Rattus norvegicus: one gene and its partner. The protein of the gene in region 1 purifies or fractionates together with the protein of each later gene. This does not show direct contact. Links are inferred from orthologs where the notes say so. Each region holds a gene or a part of one and is shown on either strand. Other genes may lie near its edges.

The links.
Region 2: the proteins of Aicda (region 1) and Ctnnbl1 purify together in Homo sapiens (affinity purification with western blotting; 3 studies listed by BioGRID, with this or other methods). This does not show direct contact. The link is inferred for Rattus norvegicus from reciprocal best matches to the Homo sapiens genes AICDA and CTNNBL1.

Annotation. Positions count from the first base shown.
Region 1 is NC_086022.1:157,452,375-157,456,187, forward strand, and holds the end of Aicda (single-stranded DNA cytosine deaminase), read left to right. Parts: intron 1-1,441; coding exon 1,442-1,712; intron 1,713-2,404; coding exon 2,405-2,520; intron 2,521-2,949; coding exon 2,950-3,003; 3' UTR 3,004-3,584; downstream 3,585-3,813. UniProt on the Homo sapiens protein: Single-stranded DNA-specific cytidine deaminase. Involved in somatic hypermutation (SHM), gene conversion, and class-switch recombination (CSR) in B-lymphocytes by deaminating C to U during transcription of Ig-variable (V) and Ig-switch (S) region DNA.
Region 2 is NC_086021.1:166,806,441-166,810,986, reverse strand, and holds the start of Ctnnbl1 (beta-catenin-like protein 1), read right to left. Parts: upstream 3,089-4,546; 5' UTR 3,037-3,088; coding exon 3,007-3,036; intron 1-3,006. UniProt on the Homo sapiens protein: Component of the PRP19-CDC5L complex that forms an integral part of the spliceosome and is required for activating pre-mRNA splicing.

The DNA of each region.
Region 1 (3,813 bases):
CTTAGGGGACAAGACAGTCTCAAAGGGGAGAGAAGGAGAAACGGAGTTGGAGAAAGAGCCAGCACCTGTGCTCTCAGGCTGACCAACTCTGACAATCCTCCTGCCTCGGTGCTGTAATTACAGGCGTGTGCCACCACACTGAACCTTTTCGGGTTATTTGATTAATGTCTCCACCAGCTTCCTAGGGTTCTTTCCACATTCTGGGCCTGAAGGTTGGTAGTCACGCTGGGAACCCTATTGCCACACTCTGCTTCAATGACAGTAAGAACTGTCCCCAAACTTTTCTATGTCTCCCCATTCCACTTCACCCCCCCCATTAAGTAAAGGAGCCCCCTCCCCCCAAAACCCTCCACCCAGAGGCTGCTCCGCCGTGACCTGGGCTAGATTCCCAGTATTCCCATGTCAACTCACAACCATCTGAAACTCCTGATCCAGGGAATCCAATGCTTTCCCACAAGGGCAACGCACACGCACACGCACACGCTCATGGAGTTGGCTATTTATAATGAAGGTTCCCTTTTTGTGGGGAAAACTTACTTCAACACTATCGTTTTACACACAATCTCTTCCCTACTTGGAGTCATGACGCACTGTATTTTTAGACAGCTTGGTCAAGTAGTACTTTCTCTTTGCACGCAGTGCTCAAAACACCAGTTTGCTTTACTGCTAAAGAAATAGCGCAAAAAAGATGAGTAGAATAAAAACCATCTTCAGTCTTAGACTAATGATTTTCACAGTAGGACATGGGCCTATTACGGTTGCAGTTATCACAGTCACTGGGATCGCGCGCGCACGCGCGCGCGTGCACACACACACACACACACACACACACACACACACACACACACACACATTACTTAATTGCCTTCCACTTACACACAAAGTTAGACTTGAGTCTCTTCAATAAGCTTTCCCTCCAAGCTGTGCCCTAACCCTCCTTACAAATTGTCCTGGCGCCACCTAGTGGCCAAGATGCAGTTTTACAACATGGCATCCAAACAATCACAAAGGTGTGTGATAAATCCCTTGTCCCATAAATCTGCAACTTTTCTTGACCCTACAGAGCCAATGTAATAAAAAGATTTGGCTCGGGGTTGGGGATTTAGCTCAGTGGTAGAGCGCTTGCCTAGGAAGCGCAAGGCCCTGGGTTCGATCCCCAGCTCCGAAAAAAAAAAAAAACCCTCCAAAAAAAAAAAAAAGATTTGGCTCCAATAAGTGCTCTCTTAACAAGACAATTAACTTTATTCTGGGAATGGTGGCGCACACCCTTAATCCCATAACTCTGGAGGCAGAGGCAGGTGGATCTCTGTGAGTTTGAGGCCAGCCTGGTCTACATAGCGAGTTCCAGGCCAGCCATGCGACATTCCCACAAGCATCCCAAATGGCCTGGGTAGGACAGCATTGACTGTCTCGTCACCAGCACTCTCTGCTCTTTCTCCAGTCGGGCTGCCACGTGGAATTGTTGTTCCTACGCTACATCTCGGACTGGGACCTGGACCCCGGCCGGTGTTACCGTGTCACCTGGTTCACTTCCTGGAGCCCCTGCTACGACTGTGCGCGGCACGTGGCTGAGTTTCTGAGATGGAACCCTAACCTCAGCCTGAGGATTTTCACCGCGCGCCTCTACTTCTGCGAAGACCGCAAGGCTGAGCCTGAGGGGCTGCGGAGGCTGCACCGCGCCGGAGTCCAGATCGGGATCATGACCTTCAAAGGTGAGACGGGTGCACAGGAGAGGAGATCTGAGTTGTCACTCAGAGTGAGAGTCGGCTGGGACACTGGGGGCAGAGGGCGACATCAAGACTCTCAATTCATGAGGGGTTGGGGATTTAGCTCGGTGGAAGAGCGCTTGCCTAGCAAGCTCAAGGCCCTGGGTTCGGTCCTCAGCTCCGAAAAAAAAAAAAAAAAAGAAAAAAAAAAGACTCTCAATTCATACTAGATATCAAATGTATTATTTTATTTTTTGAGGTAGGGTCTCACTATCTCAGGCTTTCAATTCTCTGCCCTGTGCCTTCTGAGTGGTGGAACTATAAGTATGCTTAATCTCAGAATTATCAGAATTTGAGAGATAGAAGTTGGGAGGGCTACAGGTGCACTAAGTGACAGAACTCTTATCTAGCACGTGCAAAGCCCTGCGTTCCACCGTCAGCAATCAAATAACAAATTAACGATGATGATGATGATGGTGATGATGGTGATGGTGATGGTGGTGGTGGTGGTGGTCAGAGAGATGGTTCTGTGGGGACACTTGCCTTGGTGGCTCAAGTTTGATCCCTGAAACCCCACATGGTGGAAGAAAAGAAATCTCACTAATTGTGTCTGACTTTCTGACCTTCACCTACACACTGTTTGTATGTGCGCGCGCACAGACGCACCTTCTTATTTATGCATTTATTTCTCTCTTAAGACTATTTTTACTGCTGGAATACATTTGTAGAAAATCATGAAAGAACTTTCAAAGCCTGGGAAGGGCTGCATGAAAACTCCGTCAGGCTAACCAGACAGCTTCGGCGCATCCTTTTGGTAAGTTCTCTCTCTCTCTCTCTCTCTCTCTCTCTCTCTCTCTCTCTCTCTCTCTGTGTGTGTGTGTGTGTGTGTCTGTCTCCCCCCCTACTCACCAGCCTCTTAGATAGTTAGTTGTATCTCGTGTTGTTTCACGTGACGAATACTTCACTGCACTTACACTCCAGTTTTCTCTTTGATCTTTGCCCAGGGCTGAGCTCCCACTTAGCCTCTTTCCTGTAGCTTCCTCTTCGCTCAGTCCTCATAACTGTTTCTTTCTGTTATCCTCCCCTCAGGTGGGATTCCTTCCAGGCCAGAATTCTCCCCTTCTTTTTCCTAGACCTCATCCCAATATACTTTCCTCTGGAGCACCCACTTCGTTCAGACGCTTCCCCCGCCCCAGCTCAAATTTAAATCCATTCACTCTGTTTGTATCTCTCTTTTCTGCAGCCCTTGTATGAAGTCGATGACTTGAGAGATGCGTTTCGTATTTTGGGACTTTGATAGCAACCTCCTGGAACGTCACGTGTAGTGAAATTTCTCTGCTGAAGAGACTGGATGAAAAAACAATCCTTCAACTACCCGTTTTTCTTCCTAAGTACTCACTTATAAGTGTAGAGGGGAAATTATATGACTTTTAAAAATACTTGAGCTGCATAGGCCCTCCAGAGCGATGGTGCAAACTGTGCTTTGTGTACAACATCGCCATCTACTGGGGAACAGCAGAACTGCTAGACTTTGGATCACATATGATGCTCTCTCGGACTTTTCAACAGGATGGAAACGGAAGGAAATTGCTTAGAAAAACATATGGAGACGATCTCACAGTTTGTTACACCTACCCTATGTTCTTTTATTCATTTGAATTCTCAGGGGTATCAGTGACGGATTTTTCTACTCTTTTCTTCTGGGGCTCACTTTCAGGGGTTCTCTTCTGACGAGGCCACGGGGCTGTCCTATAGTCGCGGTCTGAGCCATCACAAGTCATTCTCTCAAAAGCATTAATATGCAGGCATGTGCTATATATTGCTATATATTTTCATTGTCCGTCCTGTTTTTTATATTCGTACGTGAGAGGGTTTGGGAGGGTGGGATTTGAAGTATGCGTGATCACCTCTGGGTGATTTTAATAAAGGATATTAAAATGCAGATGAGGACTACAAAGAAATCATTCTGAAAATGAGTTCATGCTTCAAGAAGCAAATCCCCTGGAAACACAGACTCTCTTTCGTTTTTAATGTCATTAGTTTACTTACAGTCTTATCTAGAATGAGAGTTCAAGAGTTCAATCCAATTTTCAGATCGCTTCCCTTA
Region 2 (4,546 bases), on another chromosome or scaffold:
ACGGCCATGTCTGACTGATTATAGACTAGACTCTATAGATTTAGACTACAGATTCTAGATTAGACTCTGACCTTTTCAGATAGGAATGGAGGTAGACTGTGCTGAAAGGAACAGAGTTGCAAATACACGACCAAGATTCTGGAGACACGTCAAGTCACCGCCTTGGCCTGTCAATCACTGCCCCGGCTTGAAACGTTAGCTAGGTCTGTCTATCAGATCTGAGTTCTTGTTTAAGCTACAAACAGGTGGGTTAAATGAAGACATCTGTATCACCTCTCAAAATGCAAAGGCTTTCTTCTGGCCCTTAAGGAGGTCCTACCTCAACTGTAATCTGCCAATATTTCCAGATGCCGTGTCACCTTCTGGTGTCCTGCTCACTCACCAAGGCTGGGTTACATGGCTCTTCTCTCTGCTTGTCTAATGGTCCTGGAGCCTGTGCTCACAGTCTCTGCCCCTGACTTCATCATTCTGCCCTGTCATATGCTGGCTCCTTAACCTTCAGGGCACTAACGCTGGCCCGTCAGACTCCTTCCCTGACCACTCAGTCTACAGAGGCCCTGAAAGGAGTTATACACAGCGGCGTTGGCCAACAGAAATACAATGAGAGTCACAAACCTTACATAGAAGTTTAAACTCAGAAGTAGGCACGAAATTTAAGTTTAAAAATCTATTATCCTTAATCCAATGTATAAACGTAATCTACCTTAAAAATTAAGATAGTTCATCATTCCCCAATAAAGCTGTGAGACGCAGTGTGTACTTTACACATAAGCACTTGATGCAGGTGGGCCACTCTTTCGATATCCAACAGTCATGCGCACAGCAGACGCCAAACATGCTCACATTTCCACAGCGGATTCTGCCGCACTCCCTCATAACACTTCTGGCCATCTAAGTTTCTTATTTGCTTACTCAATATTCTCTGGCGGCTCCCCCACTGTATTTGCCTTTTCAAAAGCAAGAGCCTTGTCTTGTTTATTTCCACATCATATGCTCAAAGGACCAAGTAGCTTGTGCACAGTAAATGTCCAACAAGTATCTGTAGCCAAATGGGCCTCTCCTGGCTGCACTGTTCCAGCTCTGAATCAATGGACTGGACTCTACAGATTTAGACTATGGATTTAGCCCAGAACTCCCAAACGAGTATTCTTCAGTGACCTTCCCACCACCTTTCTTGTTCCATTATCAATTACACTGTCTTAAAGGGGAAAATATTGTGGCCTCGCATCTGTTCTCTGACACTTATGTATTCTTTCTCATCAGGCTTGGAGTCTCCATCTATGGGATCAGGGTTTATATATTGGCTAAAGGAAATAATTACCAATATTAGTATTTATGGACTGTTATTATACTCTGCAACAAACACTAGCCTAACACTTTTTTTTCTCTTTTTCTTTTGGTTTTGGTTTTCTGGACAGGATTTCTCTGTGAGACCCTGGCTGTCCTGAAACTCACTCTGTAGACCAGGCTGGCCTTGAAAGATCTGCCTGCCTCTGCCTCCTCCCAAATCCTGGGACTAAAGGTGTGAGCCACCAACTGCTATGCATAGCTAGTTTTTTGTTGTTGTTCTTTCATTTTGTTTTGTTTTGTTTTGTTTTGTTTTGTTTTTAGGACAGAGTTTCTCTGGGTAGCCCTGGCTGTCTTAGAACTCACTCTGTAGACCAGGCTGGATTTGGACTCAGAGAGATCCATCTGCCTCTGGCTCTGGCCTCTGCCTCTGCATGCTGGGATGAAAGGTATGTGCCACAACCACCTGGCCCACTGTAAATTTCTTAACAGAAGAAAAAATTTCTTCACAACAGACACAAGGTAGGTAGCATGAGGTATTCTGTTCAAGGTTACAACCAGTCAGTAAGAAAAAGAAGAGATTGAAGGCAACCTGGGGCTCCAAATCCAGGCTTTTGGAGGATCAGGGGGTTGTTTCACTAAGTATCGCTGGCTGGCCTGGAATTTAGTGACCTGGGGCCTCTGCCTCCCAACTTTCAGGCACTGAGATTAAGGCATCCATGGCCAGCAGTTCAGGCTCACAGCTTCTCATCACCTACTCTGGTCTTTTAAAACAATCACAGTTTGAACACTACACAAGTGGGCAAGGTTGGCTAAAATTGTATTTTATTTCCATTACCCAAAGTATGCTCCATCATATGATGGTCTCGTATATACTCATTCAACCAACATGATCAAGGCTCTGTAATCAATATAAAAATACTACCTTTTTTCATACTATGTCTTTAGAATGAGGTGTGATTTACAAAACAGTACTTCCTAATTCAGACTAATTACCCTGTATGAGCTCCGACGCTATTGCAGCTAGTGAAAACAAGGCTGGACCCAAGGAACCTCATTAGGCAGTTAGGCAGTCAAAAGAGGGCGAAAACTTTGGGCCGGGAGCCTGGACACTTGAACTTTATCTAGTCTGTAGCTGTTGAGTGACCTCGGGCAAGTCCTTTCTTCTCTCTAGGTCACCCGTTCCCCACAAGTACCCTGAGCAAGGAGGTCAAGAGGTCTCTGAGGGACCCATTCCATGATTCATTTTCCAAGTATCTTAACAATTGCGGGGACCATGGCCACAGGTTTCTGCACTTTCAAATGACCTTTCACATATATCCATTTTATAGATTTTAAAAGAAAAAACGAGACTCCGTGACGGGAGAAAGACTTATCCAAAGCTACACCGACTCTTGGTAAAGAAACTGACACCGAAATAAAAAGCAGTGTTCTCCACAACTGTCTTAAGCGCTATGAATTGGAAGAAATGAGGCCGAAGAGGAGCTGAAGGGAATCGGGCTGCCGGGTGGGGAACAGAGATCAAATGGCTCAGGCCTGGAGAAAGAAGGGGTCGAAAGGGTCCACGAGGGCTTAGGGGAGTGAAGTGCAATGACAGGATGCAAGCCCGGGTGACATGAGAAGTGAGGGCCAGGGACCGAGAGGAGGCAAGATGACCGGGCTCTTCCTTGCGACGCCAACGAGGATGAGGAGCTCTCCGGCCCTGCCAACTGCACCTACCTGGTAGCTTAAAAGTTCGCCCACGTCCATGGTTCCGGACCCAATCAGCACAGTGTACCCTGGTTGCCTCCACTTACTCCCGAACCACGGGCCGCTTAGAGGCTTTTCCTGCCACACTGCCGTAAAGCGCCAGGCCTCAGAACCAATAGAGTAAAAGAGCGCGTGGCCGGCGCTCTCGCCACACTGCCGTAAAAGAAAGCGCTGCCGTAAAGCGCGCCGCAGTTTGACTATTCTGCTTCCGCCTGGATCCTGAAGGGGCAGGAAAGTGGGAGGATGCTAAGGGAACAAACCTAAAAACTAGGCGGTCATCCAAGTGTAGAGCAGAATGCCTGATGTTTCGTGGGTAACCTTCCACGTCTTCCAGAGACTGCCACTTTTGTTCTTATTTCACCCTCATTTCACAGATAAAGAAATTGAGTTGTGGGGCTGGGGATTTAACTCAGTGGTAGAGCGCTTGCCTAGGAAGCGCAAGGCCCTGGGTTCGGTCCCCAGCTCCGAAAAAAAGAACCAAAAAAAAAAAAAAAAAAAAAAGAAATTGAGTTGACTGGTTGGCGGTGTTGTACGCCTTTGATCCCAGTACTGGAGAAGCAGAAGCGAGCAGATCTCTTGAATTCGAGACCAACCTGGTCTACAGAAACGAGTTCCAGGACAGCCAGGGCTACACAGAGAAACCCTGTCTCGCATGGGTTAGAGAGAGAGGAGGAGAGGGGAGAGAGGGAGGGAGAGAGGAGCTAAGGTTTAAAATCCTGCGTCCCATATGATAGTCGCCTGTGGCTAGTCCTATCACATGTGACTACTGGGCACTTGAAGTGTGGCTAGTCCTAATTGAGAGGTTAAGTGTGAATCAAATGTACACTGGATTTTTCATACTTGAACTGGTGTCTTTTTTTTAACTTATGGGTAAAGGGAAATATGAAATGAATTTGAGTTTCTTATTTGTTAAGTGCACTTAATAGATATACTGAAATTGCTTACATGGATTTCATTTTGGGGTTCCCATTATGCTTCCCCTGGACAGTGCTGGCTTACAAATTGGCACCTGGGCATAGATTACTGGTGACTGAGAAAACGTTGATATCGTGTTTGTTGTTTGTTTGTTTGTTTGTTTGTTTTTTCTGAGCTTCTGTCATTGGCACAAGACCCAGTAGCAATTGGATAATCTTCACGTCTACCCAAACAGTATAAAAAAGGTCTGGGAGTCTGGAGAAATGGCTCAGCACTTAGGAGCACTTACTGCTCTCTAGACAACCCAGTTTACTTCCCAGCAGCCATGTTGAACAGCTCACAATTGCCTTTAACTCCAGTTCTAGAGGATCCGATGGTCTCTTCTGGCCTCCATTTACACCCAGAAGCACACACACACACACACACACACACACACACACACACACACACACACACACACTTTTATAAAAAGAGGTTTCTGGGGAAGGAATTTGCCCGTTATTGAAATAGTAAGGAATCACAACAGACTCCATCCCAGAAAGCCCATTCAACTATCTCCAACTACACATGAGAAACGTGTTATTCCTCAAACTGC